Styela clava: one gene and its partner. The protein of the gene in region 1 purifies or fractionates together with the protein of each later gene. This does not show direct contact. Links are inferred from orthologs where the notes say so. Each region holds a gene or a part of one and is shown in the gene's direction. Other genes may lie near its edges.

Region 1 (9,915 bases):
ACAATATTTGTATACAGTCGCACACAGAGAAAATTTTACTGTTGCAGGTGAAACAATTTTACATCATGTAAGCTCATATTCTAAAAAAATCATAATATTCGAGCAAATTTGCTAAAATGTGAATAAAATTGGCTACACATAATCAACCAAAATAGGAAAGCGGAGACGATGAAATAAAAATATATTTATTTAATAGTTGTGATTCGTTGTGTTCATTGATTCTTCCAACTTATTCTTATTTTCCAAATATGGAGTAGTAGGTGACCCTGAAAACATTGTTCTTGCTTTAAAATCAGGGTAATATTTGGAATTCTATTTAAAAACTGTTTGCCTTACGCACATTCCAGCTCAAACATGCCTAGGATAGAACATTGGTGAACAATACTCGGTTGTTGGAATATTGTCAATTACTACTCAGATATTATGAGGTAAAACAGTGGGAAACTTAGATTAAAAATTATATCGGTTCAAAAATGTAATGCTTTTGTCGATGCGTATTTAAATTATATATGAGAACGTTCAATAGAGTAGACTGATTTTTTTCGAAGTGGAACTACAATATCAAAATGCCAATTCATAGTGCCAATCAAGTTGCACGTACCAATACCACTACTCCCGCTCTCTTTATATAAAACTATCGTATTTTGATATAATAAAATTCTATATATTCACCTTTCTTCGAATGAAAGTTCATCCCAGTATTTTCTTAAAGGACGATAGTCGATTTCTGAAAATAAAGGGATTGCAATGATGATAAACGGAGAAAATAGAAGAAAAAATGAAATGAAAAGTATGAAAAAATAAAGGAATGAATACAAAAAAAAAAAAAAACGAAAAAAAAAAGAATATGATGAAGTGGAAGCGTCGAACGCAGACGAAAAATATAAAAGTTGGATGAAAGAAAAAGAAGCTAGCCTAAAGAAAGAAGAACACCAAGAAAATGAAAACTAGAATTCGGTTGGAAACGGTCAGAGACCGAAGACTTATCGATCGAAAGTTAGGGGATCCCCCAAAACAGAAACTGCAGTTTCAATTCGAAAAATTCTGCAAACCCGAACTGGATTGTTTTGAATAGTTTTCAGCCAATATCAAAAATGTAGGAAACAATAGCCAACTCCCCATGTCGTCGTCAAAATACTACTCGAGGAAATACTTTTATGAAGAATTCTGCAAATCGGAACTGGATTGTTTCGATTAGTTTCCAGCCAATAGCCTATTTACCAATCCTATATTTTGTGTCAAATACAACATCGCTAACCCGGGTTGCGACGGCTATTCAAACACAGCCTAGCGATATTTTGGTGAGGAATTCTGCAACCCCTAACCTGATAGACATAGAGGTTTATGGACATTGCTTAAACTTTAAAGAGTAATTATAAGTAACGAGATACGATCTCGCAGCGTGTATCCTTCGCTCTGACTCAATAGCGTGGAAAATTTCTCGAAGGAAACTTGCGCATCGCGACGACGTCAAAGTTACAAGAGAGATATGGACAATGCTCAAAGATTAATCACGAGATACGATCTAGCGGTGTGTATCCTTCTCTCTGGCTCACTAGCGTGAAAACTTGCGCATCGGACATGCACACACACATTCAGCGCGTCTCGAAAATCTCTCGCTTTGTAAAAATCCAGATCTCTTCATCACTAATTAATTAATAACTCGCTAATTATACGACATAATTCATCCAAAATCAATAGGCTACTGGTCCGAGATATGATGAATGCACATGCAAAATTTGGAGCAGATTCAACCACGCCTTCGTGAGATATCGCGTGCATCTAACACACAGACAGACAGACAAATACCTATCAACATACTTACCGATTTTAAGATCGATAAGTAACAAAAGAGAGAACTGTAAATATATACCTTTGCATTCCGGTTTAACGTATTCCCATTTTCCATTTTTGCACATATTCTTGTATTGCCGTGGACTTGGAAGTTTGTAACCGTATTTGCAAATGTAGTGAACAGCCATTCCATTGTAAAATTTTCCTTGAATGGGCCCGTTTAAGGGTGATCCATTTTTTATCTCTGCCTCTTCGGGCGGACAAAACTCTGTATGTATACATATTTGTTGAATACAGTAAAAGAAAATTTCCAGACTCCAATACTTTTATTTTATTTTTCAGCTGAGGTTGAAAAAATGGGAATTGAGACATTACTGATAATATATTTTTTTCAATATTGATTTGATATTTGCAAACTTTATCCAAATCTGGTTTTTGTTTTGTAACAGTAATCAATCGAAAATGAATAACCTTTAACTGTATTAATAAGGTTCTTTTTTAATTTAAATATTTCAGGGAATTCGGATTATCCCACAAAATTTTAATCATTTCAAACCAACGAGATTTTTATCACCCGCTGCATAGTCATGATCAACTAAAACCATAAGTCATACAAAAATGCGTCGTACTTTGTGGGTTGAAACATGTCGCTACTTCAGTCCATTGTCCATTGCCCTGGCATACAGCATATGCTGGTCCTATACGTCGAAGGGCCAAAAAACAGGAGAACATGGCCCTTTCTCCTGCACTGTAAAGTTTCTGTTGTCCATAATCAGGAAGCACGTAGCCATTTTTGATCAAAGGTTTTTGACATGCTGCATCTGAAATCAATTTGTAATATAAATATGTGATATGTGATACTATATCAAAGGTATTTCCTTGATTACAGCACTACACCATTGCTTTGCAGTCGTTAATAACCAATATTTGTAGTTAAATGAAGATTCAACACAAACTTCTATTTAAAGATGAAATTTTTTTATCCGTTCATAAATGCTGTAGCGTGACAGAAATCAATTATATTCAGTTTAGAATACAAAAATAAAGTTGTTTAACAAATTCATAAGAATAGTATTAAAATGAAAATATTTTATTTCCTGATTCTTTTTCAAATAAATAGTATATATATTGAACAAAAATTTTGAAATCAATAATTAGCTGAAGTGTTATGGAAAATCGGCCTTTCAGACTAAGACAGGCTATCCGTAATATTGAAATATAAAAATTTCGAACTTGATGCAATTTTGTACATCATTCTTTTTTAGAGTTTGATATCACTCATAACATTGCGATATGTCTCGAGTATGGTGTATAATATTTATATAAAATGATATATATATATATATAAAGTATATTAAAGCGAACATGTTTAAAGTAGACTTAAACACTAGAAAATGACTGACACTACGAAGCTTATACAAATAAGCATATATATCTACTAAATGTTATATAGTTTATCCATTTTTTCTTATATCCATATTTGGCTGTTCACCAGCGGTTTACTTTGTGTGCTTTTCACATCATTGCTAATTCTGCAGCAGCCGAATTTTTCCACTTAAAATTTTCTATAAAACGTGTACAAAATAAAACAAAAAATAAATAAATACCTGAAAGTTGTATAACGCAAATGGCAACTACAAGTGCAAATAAATCTCGGATTCTTTCCATTTTTATCCAGATATTCGACCGCTCGCTCCAGATGTATTATATCAATGTCAAGTATAAAAATGGAACAGCACTATAATATTAGACTTCTTTTCCCTGCGGGCTTATATCGTGGACGATTTGCACAAAAAATCCGCGGAACAAGACAACGACATCGCCGATTAGAAAACTATAATCAAAGTGATAATATCCTGTTGCCAAACACGCGTTGGTACAGGTAGTGAAGGGAAATTACATGGATTATTAATAAAAGACAACAAATGTATGTAACGAACTCTTGTAACAAAAATACCAAAATATGCAATACAACCAAAATATCTTGCGAAAAGGTCAATTGGGTAAATATAGGGAAAAAAGTTCTCCCTCTCTCTGCGACGGTTCAAAGCATACCAAAGTATTTTAAAATCACCAGAATTCATGGATGATCAATAACATTTATATAAGGAGCATTTATCTACCTGCGTCCATACGGAAAACCGAACTGTCTATTCCACATCCCCCAATAATGAAATGAAGAAATTGAACGCTATGGTTCATGCTACAGAATTTGTCAAGTTGCTTTATGATAGACATAAGGCATTGAAATATCCATCTAAATCTAAATGTGTTTCATGTTTTAAATAATTATGTACATATTTTAAGAAAATGCTTTAGACACAAAATAATTTGTATTGTGCTTCTTATCTAGATTTATTTAAGACATCATGCCCCGGGCTTACGTAATCATCCAAATTAGTTTATTTTTTGTTCGTATTTACTCATACCACGTTTTTATGAAAGTTCGCAATAAAACAATCAATACTTGGTAAAAAAATTCTGTTCATAAAGCATTTTACCCTGTCGATGGGCCGCATAGTGATGTTATTAAACAAACCTTTGAGGCTCAATTAAAACTCCGTTAACATAAACACACAATTTCATAGTAATATTGAAATTTATTTTTAATATGGCTTAATAAAAAAGCCGCTAATTAAGTTGTCAATGCGCTGTTAATAACAGTCTACCAAGATGTAAGGGTACGCTTACTCAAAAATCGGATTATTGACGAGCCAAAACATTTTAACCAATTTGGATAACAATTTTTGTATCAAGTCAAAACATTTTTACTTTTATTTCACTTAAAATTTGTAGTGAAAGGTTACAAAACAAACGAGATTGGCTAAATTGAATTTGCAATATTTGTAAATGAAACTGTACCGTTTCTTCTTTAAATAACATATTGCTTTCATTTTTAGGTATCTTCTCTATTTATGAACGATTGAGTAAATTGTTTCGGTTTTCTATATAACTTATTATATTTGAGACTATACGCTAGTTCCATAATATTTCATTACATGTAACGTAAGGTATCGATTCCTATCGTAGTCTTCATTTTTTTGCCATATATCAAAAAAACTTTATCCTACTCTAGATGTGTATTTAGTAAGCAATTAATTGAGTCAAAAGTCACCACCGACCAGCGGTTACGTGAACCACCCTATGGCTACGGGGAGTCCAGCAATCTTCCCGCACTGAATTATCGCCTACGCCAGGGGTCGGCGTTCGAAACTGCAAACCTATACAGGGTAATCAGAGGTGCGGTTGCGTGGGTTATATGCAGGGCTACCATCGATATGAACCCAAAAATAAGGACATCGGGGAAACATAATAATGGAATAACAAAGAACGAAATGTTATAAACAAAATGTATTCACGCCAGTGCGACACGTGTCTAATCATACTTTGCACTAGAAAAAATTTGCTCCAGCAGTTCTTTATTCTTGGAAACTATCTGTTCCATCTGACTTTTAAGTTATATTTTGATTCAAGTTACACGAACTGATTTTGGCCGGTAGGCTATTTTTTTGTTGCTGTCATTGTGTCAATTATTTCGCTGTTATCAAGTAATGAGAGCGCGTAGCAAACAATGAGGTTGTAAAATAGCATTTCTAGCAAATCATTCATTCGAATTGAACTTTACACATAAAATAAAGACAAAAATAAGGACACATGTCAAAATAAGGACAAATCTTAGAAATAAGGACGTTATGGCAGCCTATACGCTTTGGTGGGAGGCAGGACGCAGGAGTACCATGCGCCACCCAGTCGAGCCATTTGAACAAGGAGACTGTATTCAAAATGACTTTTGAATAAACAAAATTTGCATTTTTTATGTCTTATTTTTGCAATCTTAAAATTAGTTTTTGTTAATTTACAATGCTTTAATTATGGACTCAATTGCCGGTTACAACTCCCATCATCCGTGATAAGGGAGTTCCCCGTCATTCCACTTTGCCGCTAATTCTGAAGCCCGTTTTGTTTCTTTCTGTATTTTACTTCCAGATATTTTGCCTTTATCTCTGTTTATTGCTATGGGTGATCCTCAATACGTGAAATTTGTGTCGCAAAAAATAAATAAAGTAAGATGGAGACCCACTCGATCGAGTCTACAGAAACCCGACGTCTTTATAACTGGGAGCTGGGAAAACAAGACAAATACAATCAATGTTTGGTCGGTGCAAGGAGGAGACGCCATTGAAGATGAAAACTTGGAAACTGATAAGTTGAGATGCGCTCATAAATGCAGGGTACCAGGTAGATATAAACATCAAATTATATTAAGCTCATTTTTTATACAAAACAAGTTGCTGAAGTTCGATATCTGTTTAGTCCAGGGGTCACCAAACTACGGCCTGCGGGACCGTTCCGGCCCACGGCGTCCTCTCATCTGGCCCGCAACAACACAAACAAAGTTATTTCCGAAATTTTTTTCCATGAGATGTTTCCCCGAGAATCGACTTCCTTGTTTATTTCTTAACATTGTTCATTCAGCAAGATGCAAAAAGTGACGTAACAATAAGCCTTTTTGCATCCACTCAGACAGTTTTTAAATGTTATTCGTTGGTTTTTGGTTGTGTTTCGGAAATTTAAGTATGAATCGAATAAGTCAATCATCATTTTTCCTTTTTAGGAGTTGTAGTGTAATTGCAGTAATCCAAAATTATTCTAGGAATAGCTGTTATATAAAAGGCTAAAATTCTCTACCAGTACGCAACAGTTTTTGCGAAGGATGCACTCTTGGCGCATGCTTTAGGCGAAACTGTTACTGTGTACGTTCCTTGTGCTAAAATGAACGTGGAACGTGCATTTTGCGCTAATAGTGCTGTAATTCTACCAAGTCACAATAACTTTTGTACTGCTTACATGCGGCTATGCATGACAGCAATGTTTTGCTAACAGCTAACCTCAGAATAGTTTTCAAGATCTAGACATCTTGTATATTTGTTTTGCCATGATGTTCTCAATCTATATTCTGCGATATAGAATTTGATATTCAAATCTTCAGAATTGTAGAATATATATTTTTGAATAAATTGAATGGATTTCCCAACTTTTGTTTATTTATTATATTGCATTTACAAAAATATTGGCCCCTTTCAACACAGTTTGAGTCATACCTGGCCTGCGGTCAAAAAAGTTTGGTGACCCCTGGTTTAGTCTATTGCAGGGGTCACCAAACTACGGCCCGCGGGCCGGATCCGGCCCGCAACGTCATTTTATCCGGCCCGCGGCGTCATTTTATCTGGTCCGCAATAACACGCAAAAATGGCTAAATTTTTTTCCAAGGAAGATTTTCACGAGCATCGTCGTGCTTGTTTATTTCGTAACATTGGCCAATCGGCAAGATGCAGAAAAGTGACGTAATAATAGGCCTTTCCGCATCCGCTCAGACACTTTTGTCACTCTGACAGATTTTCAGTCGTGGTTGTAAACAAAACTTCGTTTTTGCGACTTTGAATGCTACTAGTACGTAACGTTTTACACTTGTACGCGATACACTTGTACACTCGTGGCGCTTGCTTTCGACGAAACTGTTTGTTTTTCGTGCTAAAATAAACGTCAAATGTGCATTTTGTGCTAACATTACTGTAATCCCTCGCGTACTGCTCCAATTTCAAAAGCCACACTAACTTTTGTACTGCTTTAATGCGGATATTCATGTAGGTATGTTACAAAAAAATTGAAGTTCATCCGACTTGAATAAAAACTGCTCCAGTGGAAAGATCTGAGTAAAAATAGAAAACAATACCAAGTTTGGAATAAACGGTCAAGAAATAACGGAGATATCGGAATTTTAGTACCGCCCGACAGCCAATTTTTTCCATAATGATTGTTTTACTTTTTTGATAAGAACTGAACTAAATATGGAAAAATAACACATATCAATCACTAATCTTTCGATGTGCGTCACATCTATGGTATATTGAGACTATTTCAGGATTTTATTCTGGCAACGGTCATTGACACCGCCGAAAGATCGTCGCAAATAAACGCTGGAGTTGTGCATGATAGTTTGACAGTGGTTCATTGTGGGTAATAATTAACGATGTTCTGATTGTACGAACTTCATAAAAATTGGTAAGTATCAAGTTAGACAAGAAATACACACGTCCATATAAATTTTATTGGTGTCCGTAGACAATATCATTAATTTGCACTACGTATAACTGGAGAGTAATTTTTAAAAGCGTCGAATGTTGGGAAATTTATGCGCTAATGAAAAAATTCAAATACCAGATAATAGTTGTTTATTTTATCTAAATTATGTCAAAATTTCATAGAATTCCAAGCTACAGCAGGCACTCGTTTTTATGAGCGGTATTTCAACACGGCGTAACGGTAGACGTGATGCGAACATTTTTTGCCGCGGATTTTGTAACATTTCTAATTCATGAAAGCAACGTTTTGATAACAGCTAAACTCAGGATAGTTGTCTAGATATAGAAATCTTGTTAATTTTTTTTTCCTAGGTTGTTCTCGATCTATATTCTGCGATATTCCCAACTTTTGTGGATTTATTGTATTGCATTGACAAAAATATTCATCCGGCCCGTTTCAACACAATTTGAGTCATACCCGGCCCGCGGTCAAAAAAGTTTGGTGACCCCTGGTTTAGTCTATTGGTTCAAATATTTCCATACCAGCATACCTCTGCACCTGAAGTTCTATGAAGGGTAATAAAATTATATATGTCATAACATAACAGTTTAAATCCTTTTACTGGTATTTAAAAAATTACGGTGATTTAAAACTCAAAAATTAGGTACCATAATAGAAACAAATTAACATTAAATAATAACTTAAATATACAATTGTAACCAAAATAGTGGTGGATTTTAAATACAATACTGTTAATTTGACTGGCACATTGATTACAGGAATTTTGAATGGTGCATTAGGTCGGGGATGGAATATATCATGCATAAAACAGGCTCACTTTATCAGCCATCACCCTGAAATTATAACAGATTAACCTCGGCCCCTCCTCAATACAGCAATATCTGACCTACATGAGCAATGGGATGAAAGCCTTGCTTTGCCATAAATCTTTTTGTGGAGTTTTCATTTCAGTAGGGCACTGTTCTGTCATTTCGAGATGTCCCAACATTTGGTTCAATAAAAAAAAACTCTATTGGTCTTTGAAACGAGGGTATCTTGGCACGACTGCAAATACGTAACATCGCGCCATTTTTGTTTCTGTAATAATTTAAATCAATCGCGACGTGCGTCAGCTGTCATGTGGCCAAATTTATGATTTTTTTTATCGAAAACCCTGGAATGCTACTGTCTATCTTTTTTCCTTCAGCAAATCAGATTATTTTTTGCTTTCGTTTAGTTAATTGCGCAGCGACATTTTGCGGATATGGAGGCCCAGACTGTCTCTCAAAGAAGTGGCACTCACTTTTATAATTAATTTCTTTTAATGTTGGGGCTATTCTTCGAATCGAAGAACTGTGCCCTACTGCATTTGCTGAATTCACGTATTGTGATCTTTTCATATTCATGTTTTTTTAACTTATTATCCTAATATGTAGTAACTTTTTCTTATTTCAGGTAATATTGACTCGCTCACTTTTGCTGATCCAGACACAGTCATTGCGGGATTGGGGAATGGTGATGTTGTGCTGCTTAAATATTCTGTATCTCAGGTATGAATGGTATCTCTATATAAAAACTACAGAGCTATCACTAAATGACATTTATTTGGGTTGGGATTGAAATGTATGAAATTATATAACCATCTGTTCCAATTCTGTTATTAAATAAGTAAGTACCGATGTTTCAATGTTTGTATTGTGCAGTTGTTTTGAATAAAAACAATTCCTCTTTCGCTTACCCTTCACTAAAAGATTAATTTGTTTCAGATAATTTCGAACATAGGTTAATAAACTCACTCATTCAATGGTAATGTGTCAAAAATTATTGCCTATTCTAATTTAAGGGTCATCAGGCCAAGCCTTCTGGCATCTTGTATGCCGATGTTCAATCTTTCTCAATTCTCAGCCTTATACTTACTGCCAGCTCCTGTACTCAGGAGCTACTATTTCTGAAAGGTCTTGAATATTTCTGGTAAACTGAGATTTTTATCCTACACGTCCTATAATTAGGTCCAATCCTGGCTGCAAATACATTGTG
Region 2 (10,833 bases), on another chromosome or scaffold:
AGATTTTTGTCATAGTTCAAACATTATCAATCTGTTTTAACATTGTATGTCAAATGTGATATAAATTCAGGATACTGCTTTGGAATGAGAAAAAGTTTCAAATTGAATCATTTACAATCTAATGATATTGGCACAAGAAGAATATTACAGCCATGGTCTGGAATCAAGCGTGATTGTGTGATAGACCTTGATAGTCCTGGTTTGTATTAAAAAAAAATTTTAGATATATATAAGATAGTATATATATATTGTTTCACTGTAAACACGATGGCCTGCTATACATTTTGATTTTCGAAGCCTTGATTTTTTTATTATTCTAGCTCACCAAAATGAATCATTTTTTACTGAACCTCTTACTGGAAGAAGATGGGGCCTTTCACAATATAAAGCAAATTGGCTTGGTGCCCAAAGTGCTTGTCAGACTGATGGAGGACATCTTGCTATCATCAACTCTATAGAAATGGAAAACTATGTTAAACATCTAATGTATCAAGAAGATAAATGTGACAGAGCATTTATTGGTAAGGGATAGGATAGGATTTACATATTTATCCCGAAGAGAGGAAAGCCGATAAGACGGCTTATCCATATGGCGAACCACGGCCTCTCGTCCGGTTACCATTCCAATTCGGGTATGGGATTAGTTTTTACTGTATTGTTTGTTTTCGGAAGCATGGACTTGGTGGTGGAGGAAGCCGTAACCGACCAGCGGTTACGTGAACCACCCAACGACGGCGAGGAGTCCAGCAATCCTCGCGCACATAACCATCCCTGCATGGGATTCGAACCCACGCAGAGTAATTAGAGGTGCGGTGGGGAGCGTATTCCTAACGCTTAGCCCGTTGATATTACTGTTGCTTTCCAATAGGTTACATTTACCTTGAACAAAATTTTAAATGAGTATTGTAAAATAAATCAGATTTTTTTGCAATGAGCAACAGTTGAATATAGAAAAAACAGTTGAAAATATTATTCCACATCGTATTTTCTATAACATATGCATAACATGAATCAAAATATATATTACAAGTTGTTGAAGCAGGATATCAGACTTAAATGTTTTTTCGATTTATTTTGCAGGAATAAAGGATAATTTAGCAGAGTGGATAGATGGATCTTTTGTTCGGTATCACCATTTTTTGAAAAATCAAGAATTTAATGCTGATTTGTGTGCTGTCATGACTTGCAACTATGGAATTCACTGGGAAACTGAACCTTGTGATAATGAAAATTATTACATTTGTGAATATCCTGCCATTCTTAAATCAGGTCAGATTTAATAGTTTGAGACATTAAATCAATTAAGCTAATATACTATTTTGGTTCTGAATTTGATGATAAGCAGCAGTGTCGGATCTTAGTTAATTAGAGAAAATTTGTTATACCATTTAGTCAAGTCTGAATTTTATCATCTTGGAAGAAATATGAAGGCTGAACTCGGTAATGATGCATTGTTAAATGTTTACTCTCTTCTGACACAAAATATCGAACATTGCATGGAAAGTTGTATGAAGGTTACAACAGTAACAAAACAGTGCAGGTAATGTGAGCTTCATGATTTAAACTATTTTTCATTTACCGTAAATATTGTTTATATGATTATCGTTATTATCAATTCTATGTAATCAGGATAAATTTCTCCACCCAACTCCCAAGTCGGAGCCATCTCCTGGATGACAAAAATATTGACTTCAACAAAACCAAATTTTGATTCTATGTGAGCCTCCTTCAAGTGCCTGTTGAGAATGTTTAGGCAACTTGATGCATATTTAGTTTCTGTCTGTAACAATAATTTATTATTATTTGAATTATTTCCATTTTGAATACTTTTTATTCATTTTTTTCTAATTTTATCTGAGTGTAATTCATTAATATCAAGCTTTTTATGTTAAAATGGAATTACAGATATGTTCTTTTTAATGGCACAATGTGTTATTATCTGTTTTCTATTTCATCTGTGGTTTTGAAGCAAAACTCTGGAACTTATGACTTTTTCGAAAGGAAAATTATGCAAGGTTAGATTTAGAAACTATTTTTGATCAATAAGTACTAAACTGAATATGATAGTTCACATAATTCTATTTAGACAACTGTATTCAACCTATCATAAAAACAATTGGATCATTCTACGTTTCTTTGAGGCATAATATATCAAAGGATCATCAAAATACCATTCATAATGAAGAAAATACAGATTATTGCTTCAGATTATCACAATCTGGGGGAATCATGGTGAGATATACCTAATTTATTTCCATGTTCATTGTATTATGGTTATTTACGATCACTAACATTTTTACTCCATCCAATCATTCATATAAAGTCACCTTCTCCTGAGTTCATACATTTGAGTATGTTATAGATAAAATATCATGAAGGACAGCTTTTTACAGGTATCTTGAAAATGTGATATTAGAGTCAATGTTTTAAGATAGTACGGTAGTTCATTTGCAGTCAGGTAAAAAAATCTTAAATTCTGAAGGTTGCACAACTCAAAACTCACATCTTTCATTTCAGAATCACCACTTGTGGAGTATTATTTTATTTTGTCAATTTTCTAATTATAACTTTTTCAAGCATTTTTTATAATATATTTTTGTTATAAAATTTATTACCTTTTCTAGTTTTTGTTAAATTCGTTCAGTTACAGTTCAGGATATCTTGTAGAGTTGAAAAAACAATTTGAATTCTACTACTAAATGTCTTGTATGGGTTTGCAGTGATGTGCATAAATAGAACAGAACTTTCGATGATAGCATGATGGCTTATGCAATTGATATTGATTAAGGCTTGCTGTACCATTCAATGGCCAGGGTATCCAAATTAATTACTCACAACCAAATTAGGCTGATAATAATAAGATTGGACATTGTGATATCAACTATTTGATTGTTCGCTAACAATCTATTCAAGACCCTAGCACTAAGTATCCACGTGCAAGTACATGTGTGTATAATGTTACGAGTAAAAATATAAACTCAATATCATTTTGTTTTTTTGAAGCATATCAACATTGACCTGACAGTTCTTGCAAAAGTCTATCTCATCGGTCTACTCGGTACAATGAATGGATTCACCAATTCTACAGATATAAATAGCTCTTTTTCAGTAGCTAATATCGTTTATGGGATTGATGAAGAAAACTTATTTGGAATATCTTTTGAAATTAGCCAAGTATGTTATATATATTGCTTGTAGATTTACATATCACTTACTTTCAGCTACTTAATACCAGAGTAGGTATTTGAAATACAATCACTTGCATTTTCTAGAATACTCTACCAAATGACTTTTATGAAAACACAATTGGTACATATAAGTTAATATTTTCTCTTTTATTAAGCATTTTAAATAAATGAATTATATTTTGCAGTTGAGGCTTTTTCACCCACTTGAAATTCCAATAATGACTCAGTTCATTAATATATCGATTGTATATCATGGAATTGCAATTGAAGGCAATGCTGAAACTATATGCTTCAAATTAGAAATAGATGGATGCCCACTTCACTCAGATGGTAAGCTATGGAAATTGTTGACTTTAAGTGAAAGTTTTCAGGGTTGAGTTGTTTGATGATTTGAAAATGTTCTTTGTATGTGTCCATACACTATTTTTGTTATTTAGTTCAAATAGAAGTGGTACATAAAAATAACATATCGCTTCATGACATACACATTTTCTATAAAATCTATCTTTGCTTCCGATAATTAAATTTTCTATTTTGTTATTGTTTGTCACAGGTTATGATATACTCAAGCGTGACAGTGTCAATTTCATATCTGCCGTCGATATACTTGTTGATATAATCCAAGACCTAAACTTTAGGCACCTCAAGTTGTATAGTTTTCATTTCAACTCATGATTAATTGACTATGACTTTATAATGATGTTATAGAAAAGGATAAAAAAGTGGCAGGCAATTACAGTCGCCTGTTCGGCAGTTTCAAATATATAAACTATTTTTAGAATATATTGAGTACAGCAATTCATTATCAGCTCAGTGTGGAGTGAGTAAAAAAGGGGTAGTCTTGATTATATTTCCATTTAATTGATCATTTTGTTTCACTTTTAGATATTGATAAATATCCTCATGGATACTTCCCACCAAGTCCAACTGATGATGAAGATTTGATTACTAAAGACACAGTCACAGTTCATTGTCAAGATTGAATATCTTTTGTAAACACTGATTGATATAATTATGAAAACATGATCATGAACCTGATGAATATATTCTGTATTTCTGAATAGTCTGTTCACAGTATATCTATCATAGCTATTTATACCTCTGAATGCATTGCTTTTCCCAATAAAATGTACTTAAATATATAGTAGCCTACTTTATATATTTTTGCTCGATAGATATGTGTACAGTCTGAAGTTATTGCCCAATGTTGACTTTCCCAATTAGAAATGAGTTGAATTAGAAGTGTATACAATCTACTGATAGAACGAGCGGTAAATATTGATTGGATTGAATTTATTGGAGGCCCACTAGAAAATGCTCTGCGACTCACAGTTTGCCAAACACTGCAGGGGTATTGAGCTATCTGACTCGAGTGCACAAGAGGTTGCTTGTGCGTAAACATTTCGTAATACCTTGAAAAAGGAATAGGCTTGGACCAATGTATCCAAAGTTCTTGTCAAAATTATGGAAGAAACATGCTGGTTTTCACAAAGCGAAAAACATTAAATCAATGTACATCAAAAATGATATTTTTATTGAAAAGGCTTGCATCGGTCGGTAACAAAATCCTTTCATTGGGAATGGATATTAAAATTAGTAATGCATGCTTGCTATTGGATTTGTAAGATCAGATATACAGGAACAAAGTGAACCATAAAAACCCGAGGGAAAGATTTTTGAAGTCACGGATTCCCAGTGGCTAGATAATTCGTGAGCAAGTTCGTAACTGACCAGGTTTAGATATTTATTTTCATTGTGCAAGAATCAATGTAAAGCAATAACCACATATGATAAAGTAAACCTAACAAAATCAAAAAAACATTGACTCATAGCAGTTAATGATGCATGGCGCAAAAGACTCAGAATGTCATCGTGCGTTGCAGAATTCAAGCAGCAAATATTGCAAAGAAACAATTCTATAAGAAAAAATAAACTCGAAATACGCAACCATGTAAAGAACAACTGATCGGTGAAAGTAACCATGCGTTCTAACCATAATGACCATGCTCAAACGCCGAGTGTAAGTACGTTACCAGCATGTTCTCTTGGATCTGTTCCACGTTAGTTAGTCGTTAGTTCCACGAAATGGCATGTGTATTGTATAAACTTGTTATTGTAGAACCGGGGACTTAATTAATGGGCTATTTTTCACAGAATGAAACAAATCAGGTAACGGTATCCAGTTTGGCAATCGTCGCAAAATTTGTAATTAGGTGAGGCAAGAATTTTTCTTGTGATATTTTCTTCCGCCTAAAAATTAATATATTATCTTTTTAAAATTTAATCACGTCTCTGTGGTGGCCAGCTGGGTCCTTGTGATATTTTCTTCCGCCTAAAAATTAATATATTATCTTTTTAAAATTTAATCACGTCTCTGTGGTAGCCTATGTGTGTGCATGAATAATCATTTTAGATGAATGAACAAGTGCGATATACAGACTTTTCGACGAGCTATTTAGACCAAATGTTACCGCCTAATAGGTGACATTATGCGGTTGTGAGTTTGATTTTGAGTCGCCTTGCAAGTTGTTTAAAATATTAATATGGACCACTCCCCAACCTTAAACCCCCGATTTCCCTATACTCAACTGTTTTTTAAAAGTACCGATAAAAAATTTTAGCCTAGTATGTCACAGCTATTTATACATTAATTTTTTAATACTGCAATCAAGTTAAAACTCCTTAGAAGACAGAGTGATCATTGAATTATCTGATTTATATTTAAATTTCCGAAACACAACTGAAAACTAACGAATAGAGTTCAAAAACGCGAAAACAAGGTAATGTTCGCGACCACGCCTAAAAATCTGTGGGAAAAGTGTCTGATCGGATGCGAAAAGGGAGCATGATTGGCCAATGTCACGAAATAAACAAGGAAGTCGATGCTCGGGGAAAGGTCCATAGGATTTCACACACAAATACATATAGATTTATACAAAATTTGAGAATATTTAGGGTTCTGTATGAAATTTTTATAGTCAGAATGCTCTTTCTCATTCTCATTCTTGGTGTTAGCGTATGAGAAAATGAATTTTCTCATTAGTTACCTCGGAGACCCCTAATTCAGATTTTTAAGCAGGCGCGGATTTTATGAAAAACATTGATTTAAAAAGTAATACATTTGTAGTCTAAGTAGATAGCCGTTCTTCAAGCAAAAAGATGTGCCGGCTCAACTTTGCCGGTTATATATCCGGCGCTAATGCGCAAACTATTTTGGATATGCCGTCACAACTGTCTGGCTCGCCGCGCGGGATTGAATTCAAAGGTCTGAGCTATTGTTGTGATGCCGAGATACTGTACCGGTATCTTATTCCTGTATTCGAGTTTCGCCAGCTACCTCCGACTACAGGACTTTAGCATCAGCTATCTCAATACTTGAATATCCCTGTGGACTACAATGTTTACCCCTAGCCGTACGCATACACCTGGTTCAGCTGGGTCCTCGCGAAGACGCTCAGCCGCTCCATTCACATTGACCCCAAGGCGTTCTCAACTGACTGGATCGAAATCATCTCTTGTCAGGAGGTCTGGTTTATATCCAAGGTAGGAAGTACTTCACACACATATATATAGGCTATATATAATCCTTTTAATTTTACATTTATAATGTTTCATTCATCCAATTCTGCAATTGCTGAATTGGTGGCAATTTATAATTAATTCGGTGGACTTGGCCATATATTTTAATATTTTTGCTCATTAAAAAATTGGTCATCTCTCAACCAGCAATAGAGTATTTGAAACTTTGTTGTTTAATTTAATTTTTTGTATCTAATACTGTAATATGAGCCATTATTTTTCAGTAAGTTTTAATGTTATGTAATACTTAAGGGTAACAGGGTAAACTGGCACATGTATTTCTGTGTTTTCACGTGTTAAACCTTTTGAAATGTTTTGCCAGTTTTCAAAATGTTCCCAATCTTTGGTGTGTTCATTATTTTCAAACTTTTGTGTATAATTTTCATGTATGTTGTTTATAATGAAAATAAAAATAATCTGTATTTCACATCAGTTCTAAAATAATGAACTAATAAATAATGGACATCTTCCAGTTCTAAACAATGTATCTTACAAAGTACAGATGCATAGTAATATCATTGCAATGTAACAACTATAAACAATTTACAAATTCTGAACTTGGTGAAACTTCAAATTTCAGGTCATCTCCAGCTGAGAGTTCGATACTTGGATCACCTTCTGTTTCTACTGTTTACAATACGACAAATTATACAGTTGAAACTGCTGGATCATCTTTGCCTGTTCTTGTCAATGAAGCCATCACCCTTGCAGATAGTAAGATGTTTAAACTTGTAACTAGAAGTCTTTTAGTTTTAACTTTTTTCTAGTAACTATTCAGGTTATTGATGAATGAAATACATTTACTTTTATTTACAATTAAAGTGGAGACTGACAAAGTATATAATCATTTTTTTTGTAGAAAATGTGTATTATTAAAAAATTACTAGTTTAAATTACTAGTTAGGCCGATCGTTTTATTTTTTTTTACACCCGCTTTAACATAATGTTGAATTACAGAATGAATTACTATTTATATTGAAATCGAGATAGCGATCGGAAACGCCGACTTATCGATTTAGCGGCGTGTATCCTTCGCTCTGACTCGATAGCGACATCGCATGTTCCATCACTAATTAATTAATAACTCGCTAATTATACGACATAATTCATCCAAAATCAATAGGCGTCTGGTCCGAGATTTGATGTATGCAGATTCAACCTCGCTTTCGTGAGATATCACATAGCATAGGAAAATGTGTCTAACACTTAAACAGACAGAAAAATACCTATCAACATACTTACCGATCGGGATCGATAAGTAACAAGTATTATTGACCAAGTATTACTTGTTTTGTGGCAAGGGTTGAGGAAAATTTTTTTGAATTCGAGGTGTTCCATACATTCAATGAATAGAATGCATTGGCTTGTATATATACAAGATGATTATATCATGTTATTTAAATATTTGCAAACAAGTTGTTTACTGATTTTCTACATTGTTCTAAAATTGTAATGTGAAATGATATTGTGTGAGAATTGTGTAAGAAATATGGAAGAGCCATTTCTAAATTGCCACATCACACTCATGAAATATGATAAAAATAGTGTTAAAAATATTGAATTATTTTTTCAGAATCAGAGCGAATAACAGTTGAAATAAATGACAATGGATGGGCTTGGTTGGTTTGTGGCAGAAAACTTTTTGTATGGAGATTTAAACAAGGAGTTTCAAAGGTATTTCATGTTTTATTTTATGCACAGTTTATGTTATATACTGAAATATTATTCAGTTGTGTTTAATGTAGACATTCTTCACGGGATTTGGTCTTTGTTTTTTTGAACTAGAGTTGATAACTAATATTTTTTGACTTTTCTAAATCTAAAACACAATTTTTTGTGTTCAAGTTTCAAATTTATATTTTTGGCAAGTATTACTTCAAACTTTTGATTAGACACCGGCTTGAAAATAATCTATTTGTTTGTAATTTTGTAGAGTATAATTTTTTCTGAATTTCAATGTTCGCCCTTCTGTCTTGAAACCCTCGATATGTAATTATTGAAAGTGGTATTATACAACGATCTCATCGATATTGATCGAAGTTACGCGATATCTCACGATAAACGAGGTTGAATCTGCTCCAAATTTTGCATATGCATTCATCATATCTCACCAAAAGCCTATTGATTTTGGATGAATTATGTCGTATAATTAGCGAGTTAATAATTGATTAGTGATGGGACACTCGTTGTCGCTATTGAGTCAGAGCGAAGAATACACGCCGCTAGATCGATAAGTCGGCGGTCTCTGATCGCTATCTTGTATGTTCTGTTGGTGTTGAAATTCAGAGTAAATTCTGTTTTTACAGAATGCTCTCTGCAAAGAATTTGCATTGCCACCTCTGAGTTCTTCTGATGGCGAGCATAAGTCCAGTTTAATTTATGTTGGGAAAGCCACCGATTCACCAGATGAAGGAATTGTCAGTTTGCTTGTGGTTACTCCCGCAGGGGGAGTCAGATTCTGGCCAAATATAATTCAAAATGTATCGTCTACTCTTGAAGGAAATTTAGATGGCATTGGTGCTAATTCTTCCGATGAAGAATGCATTAGATTAGCTTCAGTACGGGTGAGTAATTTTGGTTCATATACTTTACTACTATTTATCAAAACTCATACATTACGGTATTCTGTATTATAGAAAATGGGTTATGATAGTGTCAGGTTTAATGATATTCTGAATTTGCTATGTGGAGCTGACCAATGATTTGAATATAGATACTTTTATAACTAGTGGCAATGTAGAACCTTGTAGAACAATAATATATATGTATTGTAGACAAATCCATGTCGTGAAGCTTAACATAGATCTGAATATTGCAAATCCTAGTAACCTGGTTTCTTCGAGCGAGCGGCTAATTTAGGTCTCTAGTAGAACATTTTTTAAATATCTTGCTTCTTAGATTTTACATCAGTTTTCATGTTTTTGTGGGATTGACTAACCTCATTTGTTTGTGTTTTAGGGGCATGGATATCTTGTTGGTACCAGTAAAGGAGCATTGTTTCATATTATACCTTCTTTGGTAAGTCGCACCAGTAATACCTCTAATTATCCAATCACACTGGACTGCTTTTGTGTGTAAAAGTCAAACAAATTAATTTTTTACTTTTTTACTTTAATTGGAATTGAGTTGGAGACAAAATTTTTCACTAATTTGCTTACAATTTAATACTACATTTAATCAGAGGTCGTCTCGCTTGCTCAAATCATTGCTGGCACAAAGGGGTAAATATTGTTGAAAAAAGCTCTGTTTCACATCTTTAATGAAATTTGATGTCTCAGATCATCTTCTTCCCAAACTAAAATATGTATATTTCTCTTTGAAGTAACTGTAAGATTCACATCATTTATAAAAAAATTTCTGTAATAATTTGAATTCTATATTGCAGGATTCTGTCCATTGTGCCAGGTTGCAAGTTTCTCATGGAATGTTGGCAGGAATAGGTCGAAGGGTTTCATCTTTCTTCTTTTCATCCAGTCAAGAAATTGATGTGACTATTCTTTTTATTAAATTTTTATCAACATTGGCAGTCAGGCGCATTATGCTTGGAAAAATGCTTGCTAACGCACCTCTGATTACCATGCATGAGTTCGAATTCTGTGGGGATAGTTATGTGCGGGAGGATTGCTCGACTTCTTGCCACTGTGGGGATGCTGGTTGGTTATGGCTTTCTCCATCATCGAGTCATCGTTCTTAAACAATCCCATGTCTGACATGGACTGGTAATTGGAAGAGAGGCTGTGGTACACTATGTAAATATGATTATACTGTTTTATCGACTTTCCTTGGCTCTTTATTCGCTTTGATCTGATATAGAAAATAGCAAGTGATCACAGCCTTGATTTGGCGCTACCTTGAATCCTGTATAATCAGATTCACTTTGATTGGCATAAGCAAATTAAATATCTTATTTAGCATTTAAATTAATCAATTTGTCATATCTATCTAGCTTACAAATTTTATAACGCTGCATACATCTTCACGATCGGCACCTGAAATCATAATGTTGACTTCTTCTTCATTAAAAAAGTGGAAACTTGGATCAATCGGGTCTGGGAATGGTACTGAT

What was found.
Region 2: the proteins of nucleoporin Nup43-like (region 1) and nuclear pore complex protein Nup133-like purify together in Homo sapiens (affinity purification with mass spectrometry; 5 studies listed by BioGRID and IntAct, counting the BioPlex papers as one, with this or other methods). This does not show direct contact. The link is inferred for Styela clava from reciprocal best matches to the Homo sapiens genes NUP43 and NUP133.

The regions. Positions count from the first base shown.
Region 1 is NC_135250.1:22,086,611-22,096,525, reverse strand, and holds the start of nucleoporin Nup43-like, read left to right. Parts: upstream 1-5,719; 5' UTR 5,720-5,810; coding exon 5,811-6,033; intron 6,034-9,333; coding exon 9,334-9,428; intron 9,429-9,915. Other genes in the region: complement factor H-related protein 2-like, read right to left, coding at 236-266, 673-727, 1,874-2,062, 2,424-2,615, 3,402-3,462. UniProt on the Homo sapiens protein: Component of the Nup107-160 subcomplex of the nuclear pore complex (NPC). The Nup107-160 subcomplex is required for the assembly of a functional NPC.
Region 2 is NC_135253.1:7,606,984-7,617,816, forward strand, and holds the start of nuclear pore complex protein Nup133-like, read left to right. Parts: upstream 1-6,388; 5' UTR 6,389-6,585; coding exon 6,586-6,731; intron 6,732-7,347; coding exon 7,348-7,481; intron 7,482-8,340; coding exon 8,341-8,441; intron 8,442-9,073; coding exon 9,074-9,331; intron 9,332-9,725; coding exon 9,726-9,785; intron 9,786-10,152; coding exon 10,153-10,254; intron 10,255-10,713; coding exon 10,714-10,833. Other genes in the region: uncharacterized protein LOC144421998, read left to right, coding at 71-199, 321-521, 1,081-1,269, 1,393-1,540, 1,906-2,015, 2,087-2,232, 3,004-3,174, 3,374-3,518 and 1 more. UniProt on the Homo sapiens protein: Involved in poly(A)+ RNA transport. Involved in nephrogenesis.